Linked DNA regions of Daphnia pulex. The protein of the gene in region 5 binds, or shares a complex with, the protein of the main gene of each other region. Links are inferred from orthologs where the notes say so. Each region holds a gene or a part of one and is shown on either strand. Other genes may lie near its edges.

What was found.
Region 1: transcription initiation factor TFIID subunit 3-like (region 5) and transcription initiation factor TFIID subunit 13-like share a complex: the UniProt entries of both Homo sapiens proteins name them as parts of the TFIID basal transcription factor complex. The link is inferred for Daphnia pulex from reciprocal best matches to the Homo sapiens genes TAF3 and TAF13.
Region 2: transcription initiation factor TFIID subunit 3-like (region 5) and transcription initiation factor TFIID subunit 5-like share a complex: the UniProt entries of both Homo sapiens proteins name them as parts of the TFIID basal transcription factor complex. The link is inferred for Daphnia pulex from reciprocal best matches to the Homo sapiens genes TAF3 and TAF5.
Region 3: transcription initiation factor TFIID subunit 3-like (region 5) and transcription initiation factor TFIID subunit 8-like share a complex: the UniProt entries of both Homo sapiens proteins name them as parts of the TFIID basal transcription factor complex. The link is inferred for Daphnia pulex from reciprocal best matches to the Homo sapiens genes TAF3 and TAF8.
Region 4: transcription initiation factor TFIID subunit 3-like (region 5) and transcription initiation factor TFIID subunit 7-like share a complex: the UniProt entries of both Homo sapiens proteins name them as parts of the TFIID basal transcription factor complex. The link is inferred for Daphnia pulex from reciprocal best matches to the Homo sapiens genes TAF3 and TAF7.

The regions. Positions count from the first base shown.
Region 1 is NC_060026.1:12,376,352-12,382,480, forward strand, and holds transcription initiation factor TFIID subunit 13-like, read left to right. Parts: upstream 1-2,543; 5' UTR 2,544-2,678; intron 2,679-2,752; 5' UTR 2,753-3,536; coding exon 3,537-3,632; intron 3,633-3,786; coding exon 3,787-3,957; intron 3,958-4,030; exon of another isoform or gene 4,031-4,179; coding exon 4,180-4,356; 3' UTR 4,357-4,360; coding exon of another isoform or gene 4,361-4,415; 3' UTR 4,416-4,461; downstream 4,462-6,129. Other genes in the region: beta carbonic anhydrase 1-like, read left to right, coding at 1-5, 70-309, 368-453, 515-638; mediator of RNA polymerase II transcription subunit 4-like, read right to left, coding at 985-1,286, 1,348-1,519, 1,579-1,698, 1,755-1,869, 2,163-2,230; cytochrome b5 reductase 4-like, read right to left, coding at 4,361-4,415, 4,492-4,662, 4,728-4,817, 4,894-4,948, 5,100-5,351, 5,427-6,129. UniProt on the Homo sapiens protein: The TFIID basal transcription factor complex plays a major role in the initiation of RNA polymerase II (Pol II)-dependent transcription.
Region 2 is NC_060026.1:1,543,413-1,549,613, forward strand, and holds transcription initiation factor TFIID subunit 5-like, read left to right. Parts: upstream 1-1,959; 5' UTR 1,960-1,994; coding exon 1,995-2,177; intron 2,178-2,239; coding exon 2,240-2,431; intron 2,432-2,492; coding exon 2,493-2,695; intron 2,696-2,757; coding exon 2,758-2,954; intron 2,955-3,017; coding exon 3,018-3,219; intron 3,220-3,291; coding exon 3,292-3,411; intron 3,412-3,494; coding exon 3,495-4,086; intron 4,087-4,148; coding exon 4,149-4,550; 3' UTR 4,551-4,618; downstream 4,619-6,201. Other genes in the region: ras-related protein Rab-5C-like, read left to right, coding at 53-168; Krueppel-like factor 10, read left to right, coding at 6,010-6,114. UniProt on the Homo sapiens protein: The TFIID basal transcription factor complex plays a major role in the initiation of RNA polymerase II (Pol II)-dependent transcription.
Region 3 is NC_060020.1:5,723,364-5,728,957, reverse strand, and holds transcription initiation factor TFIID subunit 8-like, read right to left. Parts: upstream 2,973-5,594; 5' UTR 2,858-2,972; coding exon 2,811-2,857; intron 2,644-2,810; coding exon 2,540-2,643; intron 2,471-2,539; coding exon 2,415-2,470; intron 2,343-2,414; coding exon 2,112-2,342; intron 2,053-2,111; coding exon 1,902-2,052; intron 1,835-1,901; coding exon 1,545-1,834; 3' UTR 1,450-1,544; downstream 1-1,449. Other genes in the region: E3 ubiquitin-protein ligase TRAIP-like, read right to left, coding at 4,091-4,134, 4,192-4,886, 4,945-5,430, 5,493-5,594. UniProt on the Homo sapiens protein: The TFIID basal transcription factor complex plays a major role in the initiation of RNA polymerase II (Pol II)-dependent transcription.
Region 4 is NC_060022.1:1,980,248-1,986,107, reverse strand, and holds transcription initiation factor TFIID subunit 7-like, read left to right. Parts: upstream 1-1,879; 5' UTR 1,880-2,003; coding exon 2,004-2,102; intron 2,103-2,174; coding exon 2,175-2,306; intron 2,307-2,362; coding exon 2,363-2,443; intron 2,444-2,506; coding exon 2,507-2,885; intron 2,886-2,953; coding exon 2,954-3,093; intron 3,094-3,150; coding exon 3,151-3,253; intron 3,254-3,309; coding exon 3,310-3,479; intron 3,480-3,480; exon of another isoform or gene 3,481-3,538; coding exon 3,539-3,565; downstream 3,566-5,860. Other genes in the region: putative zinc finger protein 66, read left to right, coding at 29-503, 564-695, 781-911; NADH dehydrogenase [ubiquinone] 1 alpha subcomplex subunit 2-like, read right to left, coding at 1,060-1,148, 1,215-1,321, 1,505-1,596; L-seryl-tRNA(Sec) kinase-like, read right to left, coding at 3,560-4,447; mitochondrial import inner membrane translocase subunit Tim10 B-like, read right to left, coding at 4,476-4,733, 4,811-4,906, 4,975-4,992; myosin-VIIa-like, read right to left, coding at 5,532-5,735, 5,804-5,860. UniProt on the Homo sapiens protein: The TFIID basal transcription factor complex plays a major role in the initiation of RNA polymerase II (Pol II)-dependent transcription.
Region 5 is NC_060019.1:5,266,078-5,272,348, forward strand, and holds the start of transcription initiation factor TFIID subunit 3-like, read left to right. Parts: upstream 1-2,748; 5' UTR 2,749-2,928; exon of another isoform or gene 2,929-2,933; intron 2,934-2,994; 5' UTR 2,995-3,056; coding exon 3,057-3,219; intron 3,220-3,280; coding exon 3,281-3,523; intron 3,524-3,588; coding exon 3,589-3,730; intron 3,731-3,790; coding exon 3,791-5,530; intron 5,531-5,602; coding exon 5,603-5,984; intron 5,985-6,053; coding exon 6,054-6,154; intron 6,155-6,247; coding exon 6,248-6,271. UniProt on the Homo sapiens protein: The TFIID basal transcription factor complex plays a major role in the initiation of RNA polymerase II (Pol II)-dependent transcription.

The DNA.
Region 1 (6,129 bases), on a different chromosome or scaffold from region 5:
GCAAGGTCAGTCAACCATAAACTTGTTAAATGATAACATAAACATAATGACACACAACTTTTGTTTCAGGCTATGAACCTATTGTATAGTTTTAAAAAAGGAATTGAAACCAACATGAGAACTCTCGAGAGATCTCCACTTAAAGCTTGGCTTCATCGCCATGGTAGTATTTCTCTAACTAAATTTGAGAGGTTAGAAGTGCATGGTTTCCAACAGCCCTTGACTTTCCCAATGGAGGGACCATTCAGACAATTTGTTGCCTACATAGACCCTGACAATAAATTTAGTCTAACAGATAAGCTCTCACAGGTAGAATTATGCCAAGTTATGTAATGTCTACAAATCTAATTGGGTTATCTTTTTTCAGCTCAACACATTGCAACAACTACAGCATATTGCCAGTTATAGCTTCATTCAAAGTGCCATAAATTCGGGGCGAGTACACCTTCACGCGTATGTATCATGTATCAAACGTTTACTCGTAAGTGTTTAATGTTGAAATTTATGATACTAGGTTATGGTTCGACATCTATACCGGAGACATCTACGTCTTTAGCCGCAAGCAAAAACGGTTTGTGGAGATAAGCGAAGAGACATCCGATTATTTGCTCGATGAAATACGCGAATACTTTGTGTGACCTTAACCGACGTGCCTCGGGTTATTATGCTGAAGAATATATGGAAATCTAGGTATTTTTATAGAGATGACGCACATCTCCTGAATTTATATGGGGAGTTCGATTCTAAAGCTATTTTGTAAATAGTGAGAAGTTAACTATAAAATAAATTGTTGCATAACTTTATAATGGAAAAGAATTTGAACAATTCGAAAAAGGAATTGCACAAATATTTATCTATTTTACGAACCTTTGAATGAGGAAGGTTTTCAAAAAGAAATGCGAAAGTAGAATAGTATACAGGATGGTTACCAACAATATTAAGCAATCGCGCAGGATACAGAGTGTAAATTGTTAGCTCACGTGTTTACTGAGAATCGGAAGATGAACTGCTACTCGAGTCCGTAGACATAACGTCGACATCTTCATTCTCTTTCTTGGGATTTTTGTGATCCATTCCACCACTCACACCCAAGTGTGAAACTGACAAACAGGGCATTTGCAGGTCATTTTGAGATAACCAACTATAAGTGCCTGCTTGAGAATTCGGAACTGAAGACCCCTGCTGCAAAGAATGATTAGGACGATGCAAAAGTTCTGGAAAACTCATGTGTCCATTGACATTCATTTCACCAAGACGGCCCAAAAATCCTAGCCGCATTTCAATATCTGAAAACCACCACAAAACAACATGAAACTACTGGACAGCAATTTAAAAAAAAATTTCTACCCGTGGGATATGGTCTGCGTAAATCTCCTTGCTGCCAATTCAAAGGAGCACAAACAGCGTTGGAAGCCGATATTCTGTGAGCAAATTTTATCAACTCTTCGGAATTTACAGGTCTGTTATTCGCCCGTGTGATTGATTGCAACTTTTGCTTAGCTTGAAAGATTGCAGTAGCCTGAAAAAGAGTAAGTTTATGAAATACTAAAACCAACAAAATAATTAAAAATAGCTTACTAATAGCTGCTCTGCCTCCTTAAGCTGCTTTTGAAGATTTCGAATCTCAACATCATGCCTTTCAACTTCTGTCTCTAAGGCAACTACTTTTTGTTGTAATACACCTTGTTCTTCAGCCAACTTAATAAAAGAAAGAATTAGCATTGAAAAAAATTATGAAAAACAAATAATTTTACCTTAAGTGTTGCCTTAAGATCAGTGTCTTTTTGAAGAACCAATTCAACAAGTTGAGAGTGTTCAGTACTCATAGGTTTCTGCTGCTTCTGGGCTATTAAGTTGTCCAAAAGTTCCCTAATAAATTAAAAAGATTAAGTTTAGTACAGTGACAATTATATTTTGGAAGATTAAAATTCAATAATCAAATTCAAAACAGTGTATGATACAAACGAGTGTGACAAAGTGTTCTGAATTTCAGGTAAACAATGGTATGATTACCTAATAAGATAAATAAATATATCATGCTAATGAACAATAGATAGATCTGAGGCTTTAACTTTCATTAAAAAAATTTTGAAGGAAGAACAATTGCACTACGTGATCAAAATAGTCGACGAACAAAGGCAGCCAAATCAAGAAAAACTTACTTTGCGATGATTTCGATATCGTCGATGCAAGTAAGCAATACTTCTCTGGTACTTTTTTGAGAAGTCATGTCTAGTTATTTTTATTCCTTTTTATAGAAATAGTTATAAAAACAGGTAAGTGAAACTTTCCAATCAAAATTAGTTTTTCTTGAATGCGGCTCGGCTACGGCTGCAACAACAACTAGAGAAGTGAGGTTGCCATATCTAGATTTAACCTGACCACGTATTTTTTTAAATTTCCTTATCCTTTATTTATGGATTCATTCGGAGTCGAATCACCGCTCTACAACGTGATTTCGTTAAAAGAAACTAAAAAATATAATAGTAATGAGATATGTTTGAAGTGTATAATAATGCAACACTGGCGACGATTTATGAATCGAATTTCGTAAACATAAACAGACAGCAGGAATCCGCTGTTCCGCTCTTGATCGTCTGACCCGCCCAAAGTTTTCCGAGCAATTTCTCAAAAACAAACTCCGGAAAGAGTGAAAAGACATTCATTTGTTTGCTTGGGTGAGTATATAGTCCAGCAATTCGACTTTAGAATCTCCAGTTATGAGGACTTTAAAACACATTTTGTGTTACAGATTCTTGGTTCAGTTCCTGTCTACAAGAATGTCGAATGACAAGTCTGTCAAAGTTAAGGTTGGAGAAGAAGAACGAGTATCGCAAAGTTTATGCGGTTGTTCGGTCGGAAAATTTTGGAAATGGAAGTACAGTGTCCATAAACAATGAGCAGAAAAAACAACTAGGTATAGAAGGAGACTATCATGCCGGGCATATCATTGCCAAAATGCTTGGAGGATCGGGATCGGACGTAAATAATCTCGTCCCCATGCACAAAAATTTCAACAACAGTGCCTACAAATCTTTCGAATTTGAAGTCCGCAAGATGATTGAGGATTCTGAAAAATTTTACCCCGGAAAACAAGTAGAAGCTCGTATCACTGTTTCCTTATTTTACAATCAAGGTTCCAATAAACCATATCGAATCAAGTATGATGTTGCCATGTACGCTAACGGCGTAGAAAAGCCGAGTTACGTTGGAGATTTCAAACTGAATGAAAATGGACGACACTAATTTAAATCGAGGAAATTTTTGCTTTGACGCTTTTTGCAGAGCTATAACTCTGGCTTTTTGTAACCAATAAACATTTTTCAATGTTGAATGCGTAATCAGGCGCCGCGCAATGTATTTTTTTTACAAGAAAGCAGATTTTAGTACGTACAAGAGTGCTTTTACAGCCATCTGGCAACCGTTTTCGTTACTAACCTACCTAGTGTCTTCTGCAGTGGTTGATTTGTTGACGTTTATTGCTCGAAAATTCTCCAACCCACTAACATTTACTCGTTTAGTAATCAAATTTCAAAATGTCTTCTCCCTCGGTGAATACTTCATTGACTTCGTCCCCACAGAAAGAAAGAGACAGCAAAGAAAGAGAAAATCCAGATGAAAACTATGATCAGGTAATTTTCTTCTTTTAAGTTACATTAAATCTTAAGTAATTTCCAGCTGAAAGTTTTGCTGGTACATATAACATATTGCTGGTGGAAATTTTTGTATTTAAATTTGTTTTAATGCTTTACTGTTCATTTAATTTCTAAATGTTTCAATTTCTAGTTTGATGATGATGAACCTGATTTGCATTATGGATCCACTTCATCAGGCAGAAAGCGCCTCTTCAGCAAGGAACTTCGTTGCATGATGTTTGGATTTGGTGATGATCAAAATCCCTATACAGAAAGTGTTGATCTGCTGGAAGACCTTGTTATTGAATACATCACTGAAACGGTAGGACTAATACCTTAAAATTTTTTTCAAACTGTGACATCTGATTTGCTATCTTTGAATTTTATTTATCAAGTTAGAATGCAAAAATGTTTATTTTTGAAATCAAATGCAAATGTTTCATCGTGTTATGGCAATTCACAAAGAGTCGGCAACCTGATTAGAATTCTATAACATGGCAAATGACTTTATTGACATTAACTATTTGCATTATTACTACTTCAGACGCACAAGGCCATGGAAACTGGACGGACAGGCCGAGTTCAAGTTGAAGACATGGTGTTTTTAGTTCGCAAGGACACGCGTAAATTTGCCCGCGTCAAAGACCTTCTAACCATGAACGAGGAGCTGAAGAAAGCTCGTAAAGCTTTCGATGAAGTCAAATATGCAGGCGTTTCCTAATTTTCTATCCCGAAAACGCGTGAACGGCCTCATTTATGTATCCTGCAGCATCCAGCAACCTTTTTTAACAATAAATAAACTTTCGTCATTTTTTTCAATCCAAAATTTCGTGTGAATTTTCAAAGAATGTATCACCTGAGTGTTTCCAAAGTAAAGTCTGACGGTCCGCAAACACACGCAAAATTGGAACCGTCGTCAGGACAATCCCTACCTAAAATAGTTGTGGCTAGTATAGAATTGTTGATTCGGCCTCGAAGACCTAACCATTCTTCATCCGGCTCAGACAATACGTGCCATACTTTAAACCTGTTGAAAAATTGATATAGATGTTTCATTAATGTGAGGTTAGAATGAAATTTCGGTTTTTCTACTTCTCAGGATATTTAAGTTCTAATTCCCGAAACTCTTCTTTCCAGATTATGTCTTCTTGAGTTCGGTTGAAGAACAGTAACATAACACGCCTAAATTAATCAAAATTGGTATTCAAATGAGCTTAGTTCATAAGAGATTAATCGACAAAAACATCAAAAGGGGTACCTATTATTGCGTAAGGTATCGATTGTTATTCTGACTAATGGCGTGATCCCCGTACCTGGAATTTTAATTTATTAAAAAAAGAATGTAATTTACTTAAGATGTTTGCTATTGGTTAATATATCACGGGAGGGCAAATATGAATAAACAGAACAATGTCAACAAAGACAAGGCAACAATGGGGGTCGTCCAACAATGCTAATACGTACCAGCGGCGATAGCTACCACATTCTTGCTCTCTAATTGCGATTCTAGGAAGTTTCCAGTTGGATCACTCACTTCAATCGAGCTGTTACCCTCAGCCAATCGATCCAATGCCGAAGTAAATGGTCCAGCAGGGTAGATTTTGATTAGAAACTGAAGCGAACTAGACGCTTCAGTTTTAGATGGGCAGTCTGTTGTCTTGCACGAAGAAAGATCAGAAACAACAGGAGTGTAGCTACGGATTAATTCACTTCCATCTAATGATTAGAAACGTGAAAATAAAAAATAAAAATAAAAAACCCTTTTTCAAGATCACGCATATGTGCAATCACCTTCCAGAGATAGTTTGAGTTGAACATGCCAACCAACAGGGACGTAAAAGTCTTGACCAGTAGGAAACGTCAAAGTGAATAGAAAAACATTGTGATTAACGCGCAATTTGCGTGTTAAAGTGGCCTGGCGGAAGAATGGTGAGGCTTGGCTTAACGGCTGAAACCCTTGGCTGACGTCCTCCAAATCGCCCAATTTCTGCCAATGGAGTGCAGTTTGTATTTTGCGCAATACCAATTCCACTTTGCCCGTTGTCAACGATACTGTAACCTTACAGGAAGATTCGACAACTTCGGCTAAGTGAATTTGATAATCGTAACAGCGTGACCAATCGTCGCTGTAGATACGAATACGGAAAAGTTTCCCGTCGATAGACGTCGACACCCGGTGTGCGTCAAGTCCTTTTTGTCGCGTATAAAGGACGACAGTGACGCTGGTGGAGTTCTGCATCCAATCGGTGGTGACAACTCCAATAGAAGGCGTCGATATCGACAGAGTGGGCGGAGGAGGCGCAGGAAAGCCCTTTCCAACGATAACTTTGCTTTGTGCGCGTTTGACTGGAGGCAGCATGGAATCCGCCTTCAATCTTCCGACCAGGCATTTCTTCAGCATCGATTCGTAGTTTACCCATTTATGGACTTCATCGAACAAATCGGTAGCGTCAATCCCGACACCACGCAACAACTCTTCCTCGCCGCCAGGATG
Region 2 (6,201 bases), on a different chromosome or scaffold from region 5:
CTCACATGCAATTATTCTTCTCTATGTACATCTTTCTTTTTGCACTTGACAGCCAAGAAACTACCTAAGAACGACGGAGCTGGAGGTGTTGGCGGAAGCAGTGGGCAGGGTAGGAGGCTAGACAGAGCTGAAGACGGCAACAAACCAGCTTCCTCGTGCTGCAAGTGATCACGAAATAATTAAACAACAAAAAAAAGAAACTAAACAAAGAAAAAAAACACATACTACACACATTTATGAAAGACAACAAAAACAACAAAAAAACCATATATTAAAAAAAAAGAAAAAATCATCCGTTCTTTGTTTTCTTTGTTTTTTCCACACGCGGGGATCCAATTCCTTTTCTTTCTTATTATTATTTTTCCCTAATTTTTTTTTTTGTAAACCATCAAAAGGACTTTTATATCATATCCCTTTACAGCATCCCCCTCCCCCCATCAGAATATAATTTGCAGCATTTAAATAGTTACAACCTTTTTTGGGGATTATCCGTTGTGTCGATCGTTTATTTTTTAATTTTTTTTTTATTCAAACGGAGCAGCGACATTCCAAATTAAATGGCGAATTTGAATTGGAAAAGAAAACAAGGCAAGGGTTTACAAAAAATAATGGCCTGACTCTGTATTATTAAATCTCCCGACCATCATCAACCATGTTTTTTTTCTATTTTGGTTTTTACATAACACACACCTTTTTTCCCCCCACGTTTTTACTTCAAACAAACTTGTGTGATGGTTCTTTTTTCTCGTGTGTAGAATTTCTTCCCCCCGTTTCTTTTGTGTATACTCGAACCTCCCCCCCGCCCTTCAAAACTTTTGTATATCAAGCTTTGTGAAACCTTGATTACCTTTTTTTTTTTTTATATACAAATCAATGTAGGTGTTCCACACATTTCTTCTCTATATACCTATTTAGCTTTTTCTCTCCTTGATCATGATCGTGGCCCTCCCAATATCTTTCGAATAATGTCCTAACTTGGATATCGTGTAAGTAACGCTGCTATATCAGGAAATGTACATTTCTTGCCTTGCCCGTTGATTTCATTTCATTCTTTCTTTAATTGGCTTTACTGATACTGATAAGCCTTTGCACTTTGGAAGTTGAAATGAGTGGAGAAATAACGAGAAAAATTTGGATATTCTTGTGAAAAGGCGAATCTATATTGATGCACATGGTACAAATACGAATGACATTTCACAAGAGGTAATTTTTTTTACAGCCAAATTTCAGCAGCTTTTGTCCAAGTGGGAACTCGTGGTGGTAATTAGTTTTCTGGTTCTGGATGACAGCTGACCCAGAATTACCTAGTGAAAGAACAGAACAGTTAGAGACAATTTACACGGCGTCATTAAAACTAGTGAACTTACCTAAGAATCAGACTGCCATTTGCTTCCATGTGACTGCGAGTGGTTGAGAATGGATTTACTTGGAGCGAGCACGCATCTTCCTGCGCTTACGCTTAAGCCTACGCATACGCTTCTTACGCCACTAAAGAAAGAAAGAGCCGGCCATTAGATTCACAAGCCTCGAGACAAGCATCACAGTACACCGATACATGAAACACATAGAATAGGTAGAAAAACGATAATTACCTTAGCTCTCATGATGCAGTCGGTCTCTAAATGAAACAAGGAAAACGAAACAGTCGGTTAGAGATGTTGAAAACGAGGCAATTGTTGGATGATATTGGATTTTGTTAACTCAGTAAAACCAAGAATGAACTTACCTAGGAAAGACTGCAGAGAAGAGTGAGAGAGCCAGTGCCTGATGGTCTCCTACATTGCCTATTTCCGTTTCCACTCCTTTCTTTAAAAATAGTTGAAATATTATATCGTAAAACATATTAAAACCTATATTAATTTGATGCTAGAAAAATTAGCAATTTTATTATGGGTAAAGTATTGTTTTAATTAATATTTTAGTAAATAAATTTGATAACTGGCACAATGCAAACCCGCTGTCGGGGTTGTTTACAACGAAAAAAAAAAGGAAAAATGGAGTTCGATATGAATCAGATATCTCAAACAAGTAATTCAAACGCGAAAATTGAAGCATCTGAAAGTCAAAACAGTGAAGTTCCAAGTGAAAACAGTGCAGTTCAACCTGTAGAACCAGAAAATGTCGACTCCAATACCCTTGCGGCCGTATTACAGTTTCTTCAGAAGCACAACCTGAAAGTAACTGAAAATGACATGATTATTTTTAAATTTCGGCGTCTCATTTATTTACAATGTATTAGGGGACGGCTGATATTTTGAAAAAAGAAGCACGGCTCAAGGAGGATCAATTACGAGATGCACAAGCTCTTCAAGTGGATTCAGAGGCAACAAATTTGCTCTCATCATACAAGAGCGAAGGAGACCCAAATGCCTACGAAAAAGCTTACCTAAGTTACAGGAGATTTGTGGAAAGCTCGCTGGATGTTTATAAAGTATGGTCAAAAGATATTCAACTCAATTTCAAATAATAATTTCAATTTGTTTACTTTTCAGCATGAGCTGTCCCTAGTATTGTACCCTTTATTTGTCCACATGTATTTGGAAATGATTTACAACCAACATGAATCAGAAGCCGCTAAATTTATGGAACGTTTTTCAACAGATCAGGAAGATTATTATCAGGATGATCTTAAAAAAGTTTCTTTTATTACCAAAAAAGAACACATGAAAGGCAGTGATCTCATGGAGAATTTCAAGTAACAAATCACTTTTTTTTTAAATAAAATCGTCAATCATAAAAACTTAAATTGTTAAACAGATCAAGTCAGTTCACCGTTCGAATGTCCCGGGATACTTACTCGGTTTTGAAGCGGTTTTTGCAGGACAAGAACCAATCAATTGTCATGAACGTCATTCAGGAACACTTGTACGTCGACATGTACGAAGGAGTGCCGAGAAATAAAGCCCAAGTTGAATCCACAGCCGGAGCCATGGAAGGCGAGGCCAACAGACAAGGTACACAAATCAAGAGATTAGAAAGAAATCCCCAAAACAATTACCAATTCTTTTCACTTACAGTAAACAAGACCAAAATCTACTATGGTCTGCTCAAAGAGCCCGATATCCAGCTTCCGGTAGTCGAGGAGGAAGAGGACGGAGAACCCGGCGAAGGTGGTGAAAAGCCCAAAAAGAAGAAACCCAAAAAGGATCCGTTGCTCAACAAGAAAGCCAAGAGCGACCCTAATGCTCCACCGGCCAGCCGATTGCCATTACCAGATTTGTAAGATGCAGATGCAGTGAAAAATGGTGTGGAAAAAAAGGAAAATGGTTGAGCTGTGAGTTTCTGTTTCAGGAGAGATATCGACAAACTGGAGAAGGTCAGGGCCCTACGAGAAGCCAGCAAGAGGGTGGCTCTTGGTCCAGACAATTTGCCGTCCATTTGTTTCTACACGATGCTGAATTGCGCGGAAACGTCAGTTATTCTAATTTACCTGATTTTTTCCATTCAATTTGAAATTATAATTTTTTTTCTTTTTCCCTTTTTGTGAATGACAGGGTCACGTGCGTCGAATTCTGCGAGGATTCGTCACTATTAGCCGTAGGGTTTTCCGATTCCATCCTCAAAGTTTGGAGTCTTGTACCCCAGAAACTCCGGGCCATGAAACCGGCCGAGCAATTGGCCGATATCGACAAGGAGGCCGAAGATGTTCTCGTTCGTATGATGGACGACAAGACGGGTGAGACTATGAAAGTCCTTCACGGCCATTGCGGGCCGGTTTACGCTGCCTCGTTCAGTCACGACCGGACGTTACTCTTATCATCGTCGGAAGACGCCACGATCCGGCTGTGGAGTTTGCAGACGTGGACCTGCCTGGTGGTCTATAAAGGCCACATTTACCCCGTGTGGGACGTGAGGTTTTCCCCTCACGGCTACTATTTCTCATCAGTCGGACATGATCGGACTGCCAGACTTTGGGCCACCGATCATCACCAGCCTTTAAGGATCTTTGCCGGCCATTATTCAGACGTTGACGTGGTCCAATTCCATCCCAATTCCAATTACGTCGCCACAGGTTCCAGCGATAGGAGCGTCCGTTTATGGGATTGCGTAACTGGCAACTGTGTCCGGCTAATGACTGGTCATAAAGTAAAAACATTTTCATCCTTTTTATGAGTTTGTTTTTCTTTACAAGTTTTTTGTTTGTGTAGGGAACCGTCTCGGCGTTGTGTTTCTCCACCGACGGCCGTTTTCTGGCATCCGGTGGAGCTGATCAAAAAGTCCTGTTATGGGATCTGGCTCACGGTCACTTATTGGCCGACCTGCCTGGGCACACGATGACAATCTCCAGTTTGGCCTTCAGTCGAGACGGGACCGTGTTCGCCACGTCTTCCCTGGACGGCTCCATCCAACTGTGGGATTTCTTCCGGATGACGGATGAGTCCTCTTTAGAGGACGTCAACATCTCGGGTCACAATCCAGACCTTCTCAAGCGGAGTAACGCCATTGAATCGCTCCGCCTGGCACGTTACCCGACCAAAGCCACTCCTGTCATGTCATTGCATTTCACGCGGAGGAATTTGCTACTCGCTGCCGGCATGTTTGAAGGCTAATCCCTCGATTCACACCAATTTTTAAAAAATAATAATAAGAATTAAAATACATATAACTTTGTCTCTTATTTCCACAGATCCATTTTGTTGTTGTCAAGTCGGGAAAAACCAAATTCTGTCGAGTTGGCTACGTATTTTTCGTAAACGTGCCTAGTGAACCTCGAGACCGCTGTATAAATAGAAGATAATCGACCTGGTTTTTTCCGAGTCGATCTAGAAGTTTCCAGTTTGAGTCAGTCCGAATGGTTAAATTCCTATTGCTACGCAGTGAACCTTTGAATTTGAACCAAACCTTGGAAAAATCCCAAAGAACTGTTCAAATATTAAAAGAAAAACGAGCAAAGTCTAGACCATAAAATGGAGACTTAACGGGATAATAAAATTCAAATTTCTTTGTAGACCAAATAAGGTTGGAGCTAGACAAAAGTCACACGTAACTTGTTTCTTTGGACACGTATAGCGACCGGTCGGTCGTCATGTGTGCACACATAATTTATTATTTTTTCGCCAATAATTAATTTTAATTGAATCAGAAAAAAATCCCGGAAATTTGATTTAGTCCCAAGTGTATTAAAATACTGTATTCTTATCGCGTTGTCGTTCAAAGATTCCTTCAACAGAAGAAAGGAACTGTTGATTTATTATCACACATAAGGGAATGACGCAATCGGCTGTGTAGGCCCCAACACACCAAATGTGGCATAGCAACATTACATGTATACATCAAACAGCTTTGCGTAGGGGTAGCCAAAAAAAGGGATTTTAACTGAAATGACTCGACAGAAAGTTGTCGGTTGGGGGGCTCGGTTCGACCAATGCCAAAACATTGTGTACGTGTCCCAGTTTATTCGCACGTAACAATGTTCGTCAGCGAAAATGTTTACCATTCGTATAATGAACGTCAGCTGGCGCAGTTGCCATGCAAAGTCAACGAATACGTAATATATTTTTTCGCCAGAAAAAAGGGTGTGTTAATAGGGAAAAGAAAAATGCTAAAAGATTTGTGTACGGTTTGGCAGCAGCAGTTAAAAAAAAAAGCCTCCCTCCAGTTTTTCGTGACACGAGTTGAGCACGTGAACAGCTAGTGGTTGGGCTCGTCTCTGATTGGCTGGCCATTCGCTTGTGGCGCCAATTTGATCGCGCGGGATATTCCGTCAGCGCGGGCTCAACCCACCACGTTTTTTATTTTTCCTCTCCACTTCCCCACGTTCTCTACACACACACTTGTGTGTGTGTTCCTTTTTTTATTATTCCCAAACATTTTCTCAAAATTTTACACAGTCAGACCCTGTTAAAAGCTAAAAGATTCGGTACTAGTGAACCACAGTCGTTCACGTCGTCTTCAAGTGTTCACACACACAATCGTCTAAACTCCTCCAACCGTGTATCGTGCGATTATCAGGATTATTTCACGCCGCATTTGACAAGCAATATTTTTTTAAATAAGTTTTTCCTAAAAATGGATTTGACCAAGAATAATAATAACGAAGCAGAAGTTTTGATGACACCACCGGCCACACCGACCAACAAAACTCTTCAACTTCATTTCGATCAACATTCAGCTGTAAGTTTATTTCTTTTTTCTCCCAGTATGTTTTTTTAAATCTGTACTTATGTAATGCACGAAAATAGTTGGATGACAGCAGATTTT
Region 3 (5,594 bases), on a different chromosome or scaffold from region 5:
GGTTTAGCGTTTTAGACTGCTGTGAGAAAGGAGACATCTGAATTTTAATTTCAGTCAATCCTTCATTCGCATCAAATGGTTCCTTGACAGCCTTTGTTTGAGCTGTCGGCTTCTAAGATAAAACTGTTTTTTGTTTTTCAGCTTCTATTATTTCAAGCAACCATGTTATGTCCTGCATGAGGACTTTTTCCCATTTAAATTTGTTGGAATTGACGTCACGAATTGACGTGCTTTGAAGTACCCAGATCACCAAGTTTCCCAAACATCTTTACAAACGCAGACCTTTGTGATTGGTTTTGTCAAATTAGATTTTCATTGCTTCTCTTGACGAATATTAAAATTGATAAGAAGGTGGAAATTTATTCTTGGAGCGTCAGTAGGTGAACTCCACGGCCAGAAGCGCTAAACCGGACTATGCTATGCATGAAGTGGTTGGCCACTAGTGACCAAGAAAAGTTCTTGGTTCGACCTTCTCCGATTTGCGTCATCCGGCCGATCGGTTTGCCAGGACCAAAAGACGCGCGAGACTTTCGTTTACGAATTACGACGTTGGCAATCAACCCTCCTCTTTTACTTGTGGCAGTTGTTGTTTGCTTGATGAATCGTAAATGACAGGTTGTATGTAATAATACGTCTAATAAATTGTACAACATACCAAACGTACGAAGGAGCATATTGCATGTATAACGCAACAACTGCAAAGATATGTTTATCGCGTATCTCAATAGTTGAAAATTTGATATTTTCTAACCACAAGCTCCGATTTCAGCTTCAATCAATCATTTAATTTAATTTCAATTGTTCCTTCATTACAGTGCATACAAATAGATTTATCCTATTACATTTAAAATGATTAAAATTTTTAAACAATTCCCCTTATGCCGTAACAGCATTGTATATAATAACCAAAAACTGAAAATTACCCTACTTAAGTGCGGGATATAGCTTTATTTTCTTATCGCTAGGTGTCTTATTTTTCCATTTTACAAAGTCGTCTGCAAGTGGTACTCAACAACTTTGTGAAAATGTCACGATATTTAACGAAATTTAGGTAATAAAAACTTTATCGGTCACGTGGAGGCACTCACTATAATACTTTATAATATATTTAGATTGGCCATACCTCTAGTTATTCAGACCAGGCAATTAAATGCTCATAGAGCGTCAATCGGTAGTATTGGACGATCTATCTACGTGAGAACATACCCAACTTTGCTTGTACAACCTGACGGTTCTACAATAACCGTACATTATAATGAACCTCGCGCAATAATAAAGGCAAATTTATTTTTATTTTTAATAAGTATGGACGTAATGTTTGTTTTACTTCCATTAACAGCTGCCTCTGGACTTGAGTATGCTATCTGAAGCTGAGAAGCAAAAACGACTGGCCCAAAGGAAGCCAAAGAAAAAGGTCAAGATTGAAGAGGAAATTGAAGACACATTTGATCAAGATTCATATTCACATTTATGGAAAAAATGAGATGACAGCTGATACACAAATAGTACGAAAAATAAACTAAATTTAACAATATGGATTGTGGTTATGGGGAGCTCTTTTTCTTTGAAAAAGGCATTTTAACTGGTCTGATGAATGGATTTTCCATGATAAATGGTTCTGAATTTGACATTTCCATCAGTGAGCCATTAGGTCCAAGGTTATCCATCATTTCATTGTTCTCTTTCTCCTGATCCAACTTGGCGGCTTTAATGGCTTCAGCATTTGCTTCTTCTTGCTTTTGCATGTGGACGGCTGCCTCGTCTTCTTCAAAAGTTTGATCGCGAGGGAGAAGGGCGGACAAAAACGGTTTATCCATTGGCTTACATGCAATAACTAGGACACAAAGAATATATTTAAATGAAAAAGGTATACATTACTATTTTTTTCGTCCTCTACTTACGGGGATAATGCGTCAAATCTTCGACCAAAAAGAAACTCTGCGTTTCCCCTGTTTTAGCGACAAAGCGCGTCAGTGCTCTCTCCACATCTCGCTTTTGACAGGATGCCTTTTCTCGAATAGTTTCGTAGTCCGTAATAGGTTGTTTGTGAGTCTTAAAAAACAATAATTATTAAAAAATATAATGTATGACAAATATGGAAAACAACATACTGGTGTTTGAACATATGCATGTGAATCTGGAAATGCTGGCAAATGATCTGGGATATGACTTGGATGTGGTCTCTTTTGACCAGTTTGTAAAATTCCAATTTGTTTGGTTGCAACAGCTTGAGTAGGAGTTGGTAAAACTAGCCTTCTTGCTCTTTGAGCATATGATTCCAAAGAGTTGTGCTTAATTCCCATTGAAACCAAGGCCATAACAACATCTCCTACAACAGGTTCCTAAAATTAAAACATATAACTTGACTACTGATTATACCCTATAACTCAGAGAAGAATTTAGATAACCCATACCACTCTTGCAGATAATTCACAGTAAAGACGGCTACTATGACCAAGTTCAGTCAGAACTGTAGAAAGAAAATAAATAAATAAGGTTTTTAACAAATATGATTACTTTGATAGATAGAAATGCTTACAGCTCTGCATCATCTCGGTAAGGGTCTCCAATGACAATTCATCTACTGCACTGAAGCCTGCCTCACTACACAAACAACTCACACTGGCCTGAAGCAGTTTCCTTCTACAAATATTTAAGATAAATTACATTTGTGTAAAACACCTAATTATTAAGGTCTGTCTAAATCTGACATCAAATACTGTAACATGGAAAAAAAAGATTGAGTATCCTTGTCAGTATTTTAGTCTTTTAAAAGTTGTTTTTCACCACACGTATATTAAATGTTTTACCTAGAAGCTGCTCCAGACATGATGGGTTCTGAAACAGTAGTAGTCATTCTCGGTGTTGTGGTTTATAGAAGAAATGATTTTTTATTGAATTATAATATTTGTTGAATGGTTTTGTTGACAATGCAACAAAACTAGCAGTACAGTCGTTGGTCGTTGCTAAACAGTCGCTAGGATTGGTGCAGCGGCGGCACCTGAAAGCTTCGTCAGATTCACTCGCCGTCAATTCTTTCATTTGGTTCTGAACTTGTAAGTCGTCGTCGTCCTAGTGAGTTTTTATCGTCTTTCATCTGGATTTTACCATAATATAGTTTTACAAAAATGTTCTGTTTAATTAAAGCATTATATAGACGACATTTGTGAGTTTTTCCGTGTTCGTAAATAGTAAACTTCCTATTTTTCTAAACAGGATTATCTAGCCACACCAGCTATATACAATGGCCAAATCCAAGAATCACACAAATCACAACCAGAGTAAGTTTATAAATTATATATTTGGAGACACGTTTTAACGTTTCCTCATTTACAGACCGTAAACATCATCGTAATGGCATCAAGAAATCCCAGGCTCACAAGTGCCCATCCAACAAAGGAGTAAGATTTTTGTTTCTTTAGTTACTTGGAACATTTGTCAAATTGACTAGAATTGGTTATTTAGTATACTTTTGAAGGTTCTTTGTAGTTCCTTGTTGCTTTAAAAATCAAGCCCATATTGATTACTGTTCACTGAAATCCATAAATTTCATTCTAAGTTACTTGACGTGAACTTTTCGTGCCATGTATGTGTTTAACCAATGTTAGTTGAGATTGAAGTTTTAATGTTTCTCCTCATTTGCAGGTCGATCGCAAGTTTTTGAGGAACATGAAGAAATCGCGCGCACGCAATCTGAGCACTGCTAAGCAGTTGATTGTCGCCAAGTACCGCAAGGACCAGGCCGAAAAGTAGTTTCTCAAATTCGCGAGGATTAAGTTTTGTGTAAAACAAAATGTTCTAAATACAAATCTTGATTCTACCTTTTCATCTATTACCTAAATTTATAATTAATGTAATATAATTTATAACTAAATCATAAGACTTATAGAATTGTTTTGCCAAAAAAAGCCGACTATTGTTGTTCATGGCTTCATGCAGCAGATTACTTAAATCTACAAGGATACAAAAAAGACCAATTTGTTTTTTATTACGCCAGTTATATATTTTAAGACAATCTGTACAAAATATAATTTGTATTGGACATCTGACGGATAGACTATTAGCAGCAAATTAACATCTTCAATTTATATTATTGAGAGTAAAAGTAATCTAAGGTCGTGGTCTGCGTTTTACCTGTAAAGAAAAAACGTCGTTAAATATCCTATTTCAGTAATGATTAACAGTTTTTACCTTTAATTTTCATTGTAACTGGTCCTCTCTTCTTTTTAGTGCCTGAAAGTGATGAACTGGAGGAACCGGCACCTTTTGGGTAAATTTCGGGTTTTGCGTGACCTCCAAATCCATCATAGAAATAACCACTAGTTGACGGTACTGGATCGACTTTCATTTTTTTAAACTTCAGGGATTCACCATCAACGGATGCGGATGAACTGCTAGCTTTGCGAGCCTCCTTTCGCTGAGTACTGGAAGCTGCTTCTTCTTGTTCAGGATTGCTAAGTTTGGGCTGCATGCTCGAAATATTTTGCGATGACAACATCAATCTAGACGAAGGAACGTTCGAAGGTTTCATTCTAAGCGGAACTAATGGAGTAGAAGGTGACGATGGCGTTGTCATGAGAAGATTAGACATTCGAAGGTTAGTCGGCGCAGGACTCTCATTGATTAGACGAGACAGCGCAGAGTTGCGAGGATCACCACTCGGCGATGAGATCGACTCCGTAAGGGCCTTAAGCTTTTCTTGCAGTTTTGCATTTTCTGTAGTATATCTTTTAATATCCTCTTCTGCCAAGCTGGATTGCTCTTCTTTCTCCTTCAATTCCTTCTTGGTTTGCTGGAGTTCAAGGCGGAAAGTGCTTAGGAGTCGTCGACATTTTCTTAACTCTTCGTCGGCTTTCTGCTTTAGTTGTACTTTAGTATTCAGCTCCCTATGGGAAAATAAACTTTGAAACAAAGCTTTGAATGTTGGCTGATATTATTCAGTACCTGCTTAAAATCACACATTGCGTGCTCAAGGATTTGGCCGTTTCTGAGTGATCACCATATTGCTCCAGCATTTCTTTTACTTCGTCATGAGTAGCAGTCACAATTTGTTGAACATTTTCCATCAGTTTAAGCTTTCCTTTACAAGTCTGCAGCTCTTCTTCTACGATGGCGAAAGACTTAACTTGCTTATTCAGGAAATCGACTCTCTGTTGGAGGTTGCTTATGACGGTTTCCGACTCACGAACTTTTTCTGCACTTTCCTTTTTTTCTTTACAGTACTTGTTAGATTTTTTCTTTAGAGTAACATTCTCTTGCCTAACTTCTCTCAGTTCTCTTTGTACAACTTGAAATTCCAGGGACATTTCATCCAGCTTTTGTTGAAGATCTGCAGAGTCCACTTCAACAGAGAAAGCAATATCAAAGAAGATTCTGCCTAGTTTTTCATTAGACGTGGTTTGACGACAGGTTGGACAAGATTTCTTGGTACTGTACATTTAAGGAAAAAGATGTTAAGGATATCAACAAGAAAACTGTATTAAAGGTGTTACCCAAGCCATTGTGTGATGCAAGTGTTGTGAAATGTGTGACCACATTGTGGAGCCATGACGACATCAGAGTCACCAAAGAGCTCCTGACAGACAGAACACTGG
Region 4 (5,860 bases), on a different chromosome or scaffold from region 5:
GAAAGTTCTGAATGGGCATCAAAACTAGTATAAAAAGGGGTATTTAATCATAATGGAAGTTCTTATAAAAGTTGAAGAAACTGAAATAGTTGATGTTCAAAACGGTCTAATAAACAAAGAGGGAACTGAAGAAAATAAAGAAGCTCAAGAATGTTGCACTAGCAAACCGTTGGTGCATACAGTTGAAAAAGAAACAAAAAATACTGGGCACTCTAGCCGTGATAAACATCTTTGCACCGAGTGTGGAGCGAACTTTGTATCTATGCTAAAGTACATGGACCACCTTAATCGTCATACTGGGAATAAGCCATATGTTTGTGAAGAATGTAACAAACAGTTCTTTACCTTGTCATATTTAAGAAATCATCAAAAACTACACTCTGCTGACTATCAATTCATTTGTGAGTTCTGTGGCAAAGCTTTCAGATTAAAAAATAATCTGCAAATGCACGAACTGACTCACACAAAGGAGAAACCATTTAAGTGTGATCTTTGTGATAAAGGTAATTAACCATTGTGGATCTTAGTTTTTAAATTTACTTACTAATTCATTTTGCGTTTAGCATATACTCACCCAATGAATTTGAAGATACACAAACAAGAACATACAGGTGCGAAACCATTCCAGTGTGAAACTTGCGGTAGATGTTTCCGAACAACACACCGACTTAAAACCCATAAAATGTCTCACACAGGTACGGCTGTCAATTTTTTATAACCAGAGCACATTGCCAAATTGAAATATCTATTATTATAATATGAATTTACAATTTAAACTAGGTGAAAAAGCTTTCAGTTGTCTAAACTGTGAATCAAAATTCACAAGCAATTCTAAAGTAAAAAGACATATGAACCTCCATTGCAAATTTTCCAAAGGAACAAAGCCACCTGCTGGTGATGAAAATGAATAACTATAGACCAGGCTAAATCAATATAAGATTGAATTAAGTGTCAAATGGTGATAATGAAAATAAACTATGAAATATGGCAAGGACTGTGTAAATTTTTCATCCTAACTTTTCTATTTACACAATACTTCTACAAATAAAGAACAATATTTTACTTCTTTAGAACAAGACTTTCCAAAACTGAGTGAACTTTCTCAGCAGACAGGTTCATTACTGGGGCACTTACTTCCAGGCCTTTCTCTATAAATTAAAAAGACAATTAAGGTAATTTTTACTATGAATCCAAATTAGAATATGTAAACCAACCATGTCGGGCACAGATTTTTGGCAGGATACCACTGCATTCCCTGATGAGGATAGGTGTTTTGGGATTGGTTTTCTTCAAGTCGATGTAATGCTTTTCAATGAAATCTCTAAAATGAATAGTAATAACACCATGAAGATGAAGAGTTAAAATGATAAAATTAAGGGAATGACTGAATGAGACTATTCTCTACGATTACACCATGATTATACGTCTACACAGAATAATTCACGTCTTTCACAATAAAAGATTATTCGCATTTTACATTTCATTTAACACACTCTTCATTTACCTAACCCCTTTGCTGGCGTCTGACTTTTGGCAAAGATGAATCCGAATCTCTTTCACATGGGGCAAAATTTTTACTGCTCTAGCGGCTGCCATGTTGGAAAAGTTTTTGCAGACTCGACAACAAAACAAACTCGAGAATCGAGATTCGAGATATCTTGCTCTTGATCCTAGCGGCGAGCAACAAAAGTAAAGAGTTATTTCTTATTTGAAAAGTATTCTGATCCCCGTTTTGTCTTAGATAAATTTATTTTCTCTTTAAATTACCAATTATTAAATAGAAATGAATCCTGGAACAATAGTTTAGTAATACAAAAGTATGAAAGTATAGCAACGTCTAAAATACAGTACAACGCTGACGTTGCTACACGGCCTACGCCTACAGTGACAGTCCGACATTGTTGTGGCGTCTGCTCGTGAACGACGAATCACGAATATTTGATTCTAATTTTTATAGTGACTCGTGATATAATAATATTAGTGGTAGGCTCAATTGTTAAAAAATGAATAGACCTACAGTTCTACCACCTAGCAGTACAAATGATAATGGAGGAGATGAGTTGGAAAATCAGTTTATATTGAGACTCCCACCAACCTTACCAGTGAGTTCTTTGGACACTTGTATTCACATTATTATTGTCTTAAACTGAAATTCTTTAATGTGTTTGTGGTAGGAATGTGCCGAAAGTTTGCGACAAACTCTAAGGACAGGTGTGATGAATCTGAAGGACCGCCTAAATATTAGAATGGATAATGACATGAGGAAAGGACAGGTTCAGTTTGACAATTGGACTATGTCTGCCAAGGTGTTATTCTTAATTAGAGTATTTGATATTCAATTGTAAAACAAATATTTACTTAGGTTTTAGATCTTCCATGTGTCATGGAATCTCAAAAAACCATTGACAATAAAACATTTTACAAAGCCGCTGATGTCAGCCAGGTGAGTAATAATTCAATTCAAATTCTTAGAATATTGATTTTACCTGATATTTAAAATTTGAAGATATTGATTTGTAAAGAAGGAGAACAACAGTCAAGTAGTGAAGAAGAAACTCCTGTTAAACCAAAGAAAAAAGATCCTCATAAGGTCGATAAAAAATTCCTTATGCCTCACGGCATAGCTCCACCAATGAAGAATGTCAGGAAAAGGAGATTTCGAAAAACCCTTAAAAAGAAGTACGTTGAGGCTCCTGAAATCGAAAAAGAAGTCAGGCGCCTACTGCGTGTTGATAATGAAGCGGTAAGTGTACGATGGGAACTGATCACAGAAGAAGATGAATCTAAGGTAAAGGCAGCCAATGAAGCTGGGTTGGGAGATGGGGCAGCAATGACCGTCCCTCTTGCATCCGGAACATTCGTTAGCACACAAAACCGTGGCTTGGGTATGTTTTGTAAAAACCAACGGTTTTCAGCACTCGTTCAAATTGCTTCATACTTCTGTTATCTATAGCCGAACACGATATTTTTGGTGAGGCACTAAGCGACTCAGATGAAGAACATGGAAGCAAGATCAACATTATGGAATCAGACTACGAAAACAGTGACGAATCCCGTGGATCGGGTTCGGAGTTCTATGCAGGAAGCAACAGGGTACCAAATTTAAAATAATTAAATTTGTTTCGATAGTTGTTACATTCTCTTTTTTAGGGGTCCAATTCTATGATAACCCAATTTAGCGGAGATATGTTTCGGGATGACAGCAGTTCTTCTAATCTATCTCCACAAAAAAAGGTCATCGACACACAAAAAGGTAAACATTTCAAATTTGTTTTTCTGCTTTAAAAATTAATATCATTTGTCGTTAAGACGATTTGCAAAAAATGGCTGATAAACTGAGGGATGAAATCCGTGAGATCAAGAACATGAGACAAGCTCAAGAAAACGAGCTAGCTACAATTGAAAACGCCGCCCTCAAGCAAAGATTTCAGATGGCTCTTTCAAAACTTGTTGCTCAGGAACAAGAGAAAAAGGAAGAGGTGATCTCTATTGTGTTGTTTATTATTATTTCAGCTATTTTTAACAAATTGTATTCTAGTATGACCAAATCATGTCCATGTTATAACGGACACCTCTGGATAAAAGCTGAAATGGACCAAACCTCAAGGATAGATAAATCGATGGATCCATCCGCCTTCAGAATGTCTGTCGGGATTGCAATGGCGCCTGTTTTGATCCCTTCCAAAATAGATTGTCGAGTGTCGTTTAGTTGTGCTGCCAATACACGAGCGTCTTTTTCTTCTTTACGTTCGCGTATACATTGGTTTAATCTTTTTCTAAGAACTTTGTCGATATTGTGAAAGATGTTGTGATCGTTGCGTAGTTTGCTTTGCTCGGACGCAAGCTTCTTTTCTTCTAGAGTCTTCAATGTTGAGACAGGACTATCCACAGCATTCTGGATGTAATTCCATATCTTGTTCAATATTTCTGTATCATTTAAATCAATGTGTCCAATCGTCAAAGAATTTTCCCACGCTTCACAGGGATCTTCAAATTTGGTGTTCATTTGAGTGATTACAATGTCAGGAACACGGCTGCTTTGCGGACGACTGTTGTTTTGGAGTAACGCTTCAGACACTTCGCATTTGACATAAATTTGAAGGTAGCCTGTGTAGAATTTGGCCGCTAACTGATGATATTCATACCGCATACTTCGATAGTAGTTGTTATCATCAACAATTACGACACACTTTTTGGAAGAAGGATTGGGCACTTTCAAGAAAGACTCCACAGTGTCTTTCATCTCGCGACGGTAATGCTTTGTTATTTCACTAGATGACGAAACAGCAATTTCAGCCTGTTTTTCTAAACTCACAATAGTATCAAAAGTTGCACAATTCACAATGCAATTGTTTTCTGTTAAAAAACTACATAATCTTCCTGCTAACCAGCTCTTTCCACTGGCAGGCAAACCTAGTAACACCACAATGCAATAACACTGATTCATTTCTGTCCTGTTGGTATGTGTCACTATTTTACACAACTTGAGGCTCTAAAGATGAGGTCTCTTGTGAAACATGTTGAGGCTCAGTTTCTGCTATTATGACTGACTGTGCAACTGTGTTAATTTCAGCAACTTCAGGAATAGTTTCTGCGACTGCTTGTGGTGGGTTAAGTTTCTCCATCTCTTCCACTCGCTTTTGCACAATTAGAGGTTGAACTTCCATATACACAGACATGATTTTATGGTTGACTCTAATGTTCTTCGTTGAGCACATTTCAACACATTTATCCTAAAAAAAAGCAAAAACAAAAAAATAACTATTGGTCTGATATGTTATGAAAGAGAAACCTCATGTTCTTAGCCTACCTCATCTTCAGTCAGCTCTCTAGTCTGAAATGTGTTCACGCATCGCGTGAAACAAGTTTCTGACATTTTGTTGAACACTAAGAGAAAATCTTTAAACTAGGAAGAAGAGATCAATTAACTTTCTGGCATTAATTACAATTCAAATACATTTTCTAAAAACTTACGTTCCTGAGTGCATCCATTTCGAATTACTTTCCACAAATTGACAATTCATGTCGTCTGCAAAACATATGGCTCACCGGGTTGCCACATTAGCCGAAACGTCAACATATCCGTATTTTGTTTAAAAAAATTTAAAAATTAATTTACTTGTTTATCTATTGATTTCGAGTGTAAAATGCTTTATTATAATTCTTCATTTTTCAAATAACATATACATAAATTTGTTAAAAGACGATTATGAGGGCGATGAAAACTGCAAAGGGGAAACGGGATCGTTCCTTGCTTTTGAGGAGAGCTAGCGAAGCATGCATTGACAATAGTAGACCCCGTCAAAAGCAGATGACCCCGGTGTCAATTAAAAATAATTCAAAAAAAAACACGGAAAACTAGGTAGTGGCAAAATATCGCAAAATTCAGAAACTATTCACAAAGTTGCTAATTCTCGTGATGGAAAATCAATCTATAAACTGACCAAAGGAACGAAGCTCATCTCGATAGCCAACATTTACGTTCTCGTTTGAATGGGATAAAATGGTGAAGAATAAGAGCGAGCAAATTATTAGAGCCGCATGGACTTTTGCTTGTTCATGGTATTCAACATCAAGGAGATGTAGGAGGTGAGCAAGTCGTCCATCTTGTAGCCGAGCGAGGTTTCGCACAGCAATTTCGATCCTCGCACCAGGTTGCCGATAGTCATGTGGAAGTAAGTGTTGCCCGAAGACCAGTTGGAGATGCGCGTGAACGGGTGAGTCACCAAAATGTCCTAGAACACGAACAAATGTTAATTCCGAGTTCAAAAAAGAAAGATAATGGCGGGTGTGCGATATTCACCTTAGTCTGTGGATGGATCAGACAGACTCCGCTTTTGTTGATGGCAATCAAAAGCTG
Region 5 (6,271 bases):
TTTTATTGATTAATATTCATTGTTTCTTTTTTAAAATTTATTTACAGAGAGGTGCGTCGGGTTCGTGGGGAGAGCGTGCCAACCTTGATTTAATACACACCAAGGGAAAAAGTTTTCGACATGAAAAGACAAAAAAAAAGCGAGGAAGTTACAGGGGAGGAGCTATTTCATTCGAAGTGAACTCGATTCGTTTTGACGACTAAATTCTTGATGCATTGTTTTCATACCCGTTTTAATTTCATCGATTCATTTTCCCGACAAATTTGTAGTTTGTCTTTGTCAAAATATTACATAGCTTGACACCTGAAACATGCCTTTTCAAAATTTTATTGCGTCTATGATCTGTTGTGTCGTGCCATTGGGTGTGGTTCCACGCTTCAGATTACTGCACATATGACTATTCTTTACTATTAGCGAAATAGTACAGATCATAGAATTACGTGTAATGAATCCCGTGTATGATGAGTAGAATATTGAAATAGTAAAAATTTGATAAAGAATTCGAGATTTTTAATTATGTACCTTAAACTCGCGTCTTTGTCACAAACCCAAGAATTTTACATAATAGATAATACCGCGCATAGCGCACTTTTTCAACAGTGTTTCAAAAGTTTCGCAAATTTCTGATATCATACAAGAAAAAATTATAAACATCTCTCGATCTCTGTCTCAATAATCCTGTATGTTGATATCGTGGTAATATTATGATCAATTAGATTTCATAATGATTACATATCACGATGTGGATGACTAATAGCCTGCCTCTATCCCATATCGCACCATACCGCAATAGATTCATTTTTATCGAGCTTTTTTTTTAAATTATGATTATTTGATTATTTGATTACGTGTAAGGTCACATTTCAATTTTCGTGTTATTTGTTTTTTTTTTAAATGCGTAAATTTCTTCTCAATGTCTCACCAAGAGGGCCATGAATTGGCAGGTGTGTTATTACACTGTTATAATCATCCTTTCAAAAATTTAAACATAATTTGTCATCTTGTTTAAGTTTAACTCAGGATGGATTCTGCTATCTACTGAAGAATTCAACGGTTTCTGGTTGTTGGACTCGGTGCGAAAAAAAAAAGATGTAAAATTAAATCCACGAATGAGTGTTCCTTGATTACAGTGATGTGTAATAAATGCAAATCATGAACTGATTTCGAAATAGCAGAGTGATGAAGGGTGGTGGCGATACGGAAGAATGTGGAAAAAGTTAGAAGTGATTCCGTGAATAACGAGTTGGTGGCAGCACGTTATAGGCGATGGTTATAGGAAGAGTGTGAAAAAGCTAGAAGTGCATCCGTGAATAGGGAACCATGCGTAATAACAGAAAATTTTTAGAATTATCGTTTGTTAACTTTTTATTTGATTAAAATCCGGTAGAAATGGTAATACCGATGATAAAAATTTCAAACAGATGAAACTTTTAAAAGTATAAAAACAAGGTTGACCAATAAGAAATAAAGAAACATTTCCTATTATAAAGCAGAGTGATACAGGGTAGTCTCTATCACTCTGTATAAAGTAATTGGAGAAGATATCGTAAATAAAATTTTCCTCAGTGGATAGGACTGCCGGAATAGTAAAATTAACTAGAAATTACATTATTTCGATTACTTCCGTTTTTAATAGTTTTAATAATTTTTTCAATGGTTTTCATTTTTGTTTTGAATTCCACACACTTCTCGGACAGCTGAAGGAATTTGGTATTATTTTCTTTTGGAAACGATAAAAAAACCACAACTAAAAAAAACACTACAACAGTTGCAGGCTTGCAGCTGGCAAAACTAACTTCCACAGATAAAATTCCGCATCCAAATTTGAAACTTCTTTAGGTAGCTCGAGTATAAACTTTCGCAAATTGCTGATGGATAACCTCTTCCACCGCAGTTCGAAACATGTTCTTCCCGTTCTCCGAATTCAATGGTGTCATCACTGCGGGTTTTGTTGTACACGAATGTTTATTTCCATGGTGCATACTTTATTTACTTTATATTTACTGTCACACACACCCCATACCTTCGATTCGACCTCGCGCGTAGGTTTTTAATTTTTTGGGCGGATTCATTTCGGTTAGCAATTTTTTTTCCCTTTCCTATTGTTATGAGGCTTTTTTTATTCCCTAACGAAAACGATTAATCGAAAAAAAATATCGAACCCAAAACTAAAAAGACACCTAAACTCCGCAAAAAAAGCCCTATCGGGAAACTCGCGCGCGCAGCAAGGGATTCATTTTCGTGTTTTTGGTTTTTTTTATTTCTTCTCATTTTCTACGAGAACCTCGCACCTCAAGGGCAAGCAAAAGCAGGCCTTTGAGGTACCATGAGAGATGCCATTCAGATTCAGCACAAGAGTTCACTTCAACTTCAGAGAGTGCCATAGCCATCACCAGACGTCGCTAGATGGCGGGTTTTTACAACTGACTGCCAATCGGCCATTGCCTTCTAAGTTCTAACCATCCTAACTCTATGGCCCCCGCGCCACCGACATGGCAATAGATAAATAGCATGGTGTATTAGTATGGTGGGGGAACTTTTGTTGGAATCGGCTATCTCGAATGAAGCCAGTTTCCGGACAAGAGGCGGAGCTTAGTGCAAAAGGCAAGCCAATTGCAGGGCTGGTCACCTATTCTTGGTTCAATTCTTTGGCATGTCATTGGTTCAATTCTCAAAATTGTCCACCAGGCAGCGCTGATCATAGGTGACCACTGGCTTCAGCCGAGATAGCCGAAGTTCCCCCACCATACTAATACACCATGTAAATAGAATTCATTGGCATATTTATCGTCTGCACGCTAGGTCTTTGGACGGCGTCACATTCCCAGAGACCTTGTTTTTGTGTATACATTGGTTTTGTGATCTAGTGAAAGAATTTCCTGAATTTCCCAAAATATATTTAAAATAATTAGGCCTACAGTGTATGAAGTAAGGTAGTAAAAAAAGTTTAAAAAAAATTTGAATTTAAATTTTTTTTGTAAAAATACATTCTAGTATAGCAATTCATTTGGTCCTTCCTCAAGACTCAAGAGGTTAGGTATAAAACTTCGGCCGAAATGAATGAGTTTCAGAATGAAGTTTTACGACAAGTTGTTGGACATTGCAGCCATAATATTGGCTGGAATGGGATTCATGCCTCTTCTTTAGACTTACTTACTGAAGTTCTTCAGAAATACTTGACTGAAACAGGCCATTCATTGCACAGATATTCAGAACAATGTAATTCATACTCCAAATATTTATACAAGTTTAATGCTACTAAAAATGGTTTTATTTGAAGTTGGACGCACAGTTCCAAATTTAGATGACTTAGGTTTGGTTTTTCGAGATATGGGTATCTCTATACCTGACCTTTCCGACTATGTTTGCAATGTTGAACCTACACCTTTCAATGAAGACATTTCTGCAATACCCATACCCAGAGAACATGCATTGAATTTCCTTAAACCAGGAAGCCATGAAGTCCTTTCCAGGCCTGTTCACATTCATGAACATTTACCTCCAATGCAGCATATAATCCTTGGTGAGATATATAAATGGTTTTCCATATATTTTCCAGCTAATAATTACAAACTAAATTATTTATAGGTGAAGACAAAGTTTCAGGGGATGAAACAGAAATTGCTGAAAGTCTTAATGTTTCTATTCAAGAAAATGTGGAACAAATTACAAGTTTGTCTCCACATTCTTATTCTTTTAAAAGACCTGATGGGGCTGAGAAGCGGAAAGGGTATTAAAACACACCTTGTGATATTAGATTACTTATATTTAAATCATTTCTGTCTTTTAGGGGGTGGTTGGGTGATGATGGGCAACCAATAAGAGAAATATCCAGTGTAATGATGACAACTTCAGGGTATCTCTCTTCCTCAAGAGAAGGAAAGTTACCAGAAACCAAAATTCGAAAAATATGTCCTGAAACCGAATTAGAAAACCTCCCTACTGAGAAAAAAATTAACATGAAGAAACTGTTTGAAGGCATTAAAAAAGCTGACGAGAATTCGAGAAAATGCGATGAAAAGGATTCAGATTTAGTGAAAAAATTAAATGAAATCATTAAAGACCGTGAAGTTGAAAACGAAGAAGGAAAAAAATTACAACTCGAACCAACCAAAGAGGCAGATGTTGAAAAAGAAGGAAAGAGAGAACGAAACAAAGACAAGGAACGTGTAAAAGAACAAGAAAAGGAAAGGGAAAGGGAGGTCGAAAAGGAACGGGAAAAGGAGAAGGAAAAGGCTGAGAAAGACAAAATTATTGCGAAAGAACAAGAAAAAGAGAAAATGAAGAAGAAACGAAAGGAAAAATTGTTGGAAGAATTTGCATTCTTTGAAAAAGAGAAGTCTACATCGTTTAAACCTTCAGAATCAATCACACCAGTTGATTCCACTAAGCAAAAGTTGAATATTTTCAAAAAACTTTCTAAAACCAAAGACATTGATAATCAGGCATCACGCGTCGCTGTGCCACCACCGCACCGCGTTCCCCCGGAAACCAACGAGTCTGAAAAAGGATCCAATGCATCGTTCGATGAAGTTGCATTTAAAGGGTTTTCGGATATAGCGTCGCTTTCTTCAAACAGTGAAGTTTTCCCCATTGAAAAAACCAAGGTTTCGAAAAAAGAACGCAAGCTAAAAAATAAAAAGGATCGTCATGGATTTGCTTCCGAAATCGGTATTGTAGACGGTCAAAGTAAGGGGAGACCAGGGGCTGATTTTTTTAAAGGAGATCCTGCGAGCTCAAAGGAGGAATCGTCGTTTCAGAGCGATTCAACAAGTGGTGGAAAATCAAGCCAAAATCAAGCCAAGATGGTGACTGATCATGGTGTTGACCTACCTAAAAGGAAACGAGGTCGCCCTTCTCGAATGATGACGCCCGAAATAAGTGAATCTCAAATATCTGAAGTAGTACCACCACCAGTGCACGCTGAATCACCCATTCCATCGATTCCGAAATCTTTTTTCCCCTTCTCCCCTCATTTTCCTGTTCCCGGATTGGTTTCCCAGCCATTTATTCAAAATGTCCCATTCAATTTATTGGGAGTACCTCCCTTGGGACTAAGATCACCTTTAGGGATTTCTCCTTCGAATATGTTGGCAAGCTTAGGACCCATACCTACCAACGTATCGCCATCCGATTTTAGCACAACACCCAAAGGGGATTCCACCAATAAAATACTTCCGTCACCGTCTCCAGCTACCAAGTCTCCTAATATTGTTGACAGCCTCCCTGAATCATCGTTACATATAGACACTTGTGAAAGTGACGCTACTTTATCGAAAAAGAAAGAAAAAAGAGATAAGAAAGAAAAAGAGAAAAAGAAAAAGGAGAAAAAAATCAAAGTTAAGGTTTCTGACGAGCAAGAACGAAAAACCAAACGGGAAAAGAAAAAAGAAAAAAAAGACAAAGACAAAGACAAAGAAAAGGACAAATGTAAGGAGAAAGAAGAAATAACTGTCCCTAAAATAACATTTAAATTTGCAGCTGCACCTACTTCACCAAATCCGCCCACGCCAGATTCTACTCCAAAACTGTAACCATTTTCATTTCTCTTCTTTTAAAATACCTTCGCTTGAAATTTCTTTTGCATATGTTTCTGTATTAGAATATTTAAAGCCATGGCTGGCAGAGAGGGAAATTTCACTACGGCTGCAAGTGGGAACCGAGACGTAATATCGCAATCGCCTGTCCAACCTTCTGTCGAAGTTGCAAAATTTTCTGCTTTGGTTACACGGCCTCCTAAACTGGTAAAAACTGTGAAGGAGACTCCAGCTATCAAACCTTGCGGGGAAACCTCGTTGGAGTCTCCATCTACTTCTCAAACGGCTCCCCCAGGGTCCCCTCGTACACCTAGTCCATCTCCGAAAGTCAGACGTGAAAAACCTCAAAAACCTCCTCGAGTCACAAAAGAAAAAGAGAAGAAAAAAGCCGAGAAACTTGGTGTTGGAGATGTAGCGGTTATTACAGAAACAGTTGGTTCTTACTATGTAAGTAATAATCTCTGGCCAAATTACTGTTTTATTACTTTTTTACCTTTGCAAAAATAAATGTTTAAGGACGAATTCGGGAACAAGATATGGATATGTCCAGCTTGCGGCCGTCAAGACGATGGAACTCCAATGATAGGCTGTGATGAATGTGACGACTGGTACCACTGGTAATTGTATAGTTTTTCTCTTCACTAAAACAAAACATAATTTATGTACCGGGAAAAACCCGAACTAATTTATATTAACACAAACATGATTAGGGTTTGCGTCGGGATTCGAGTTCC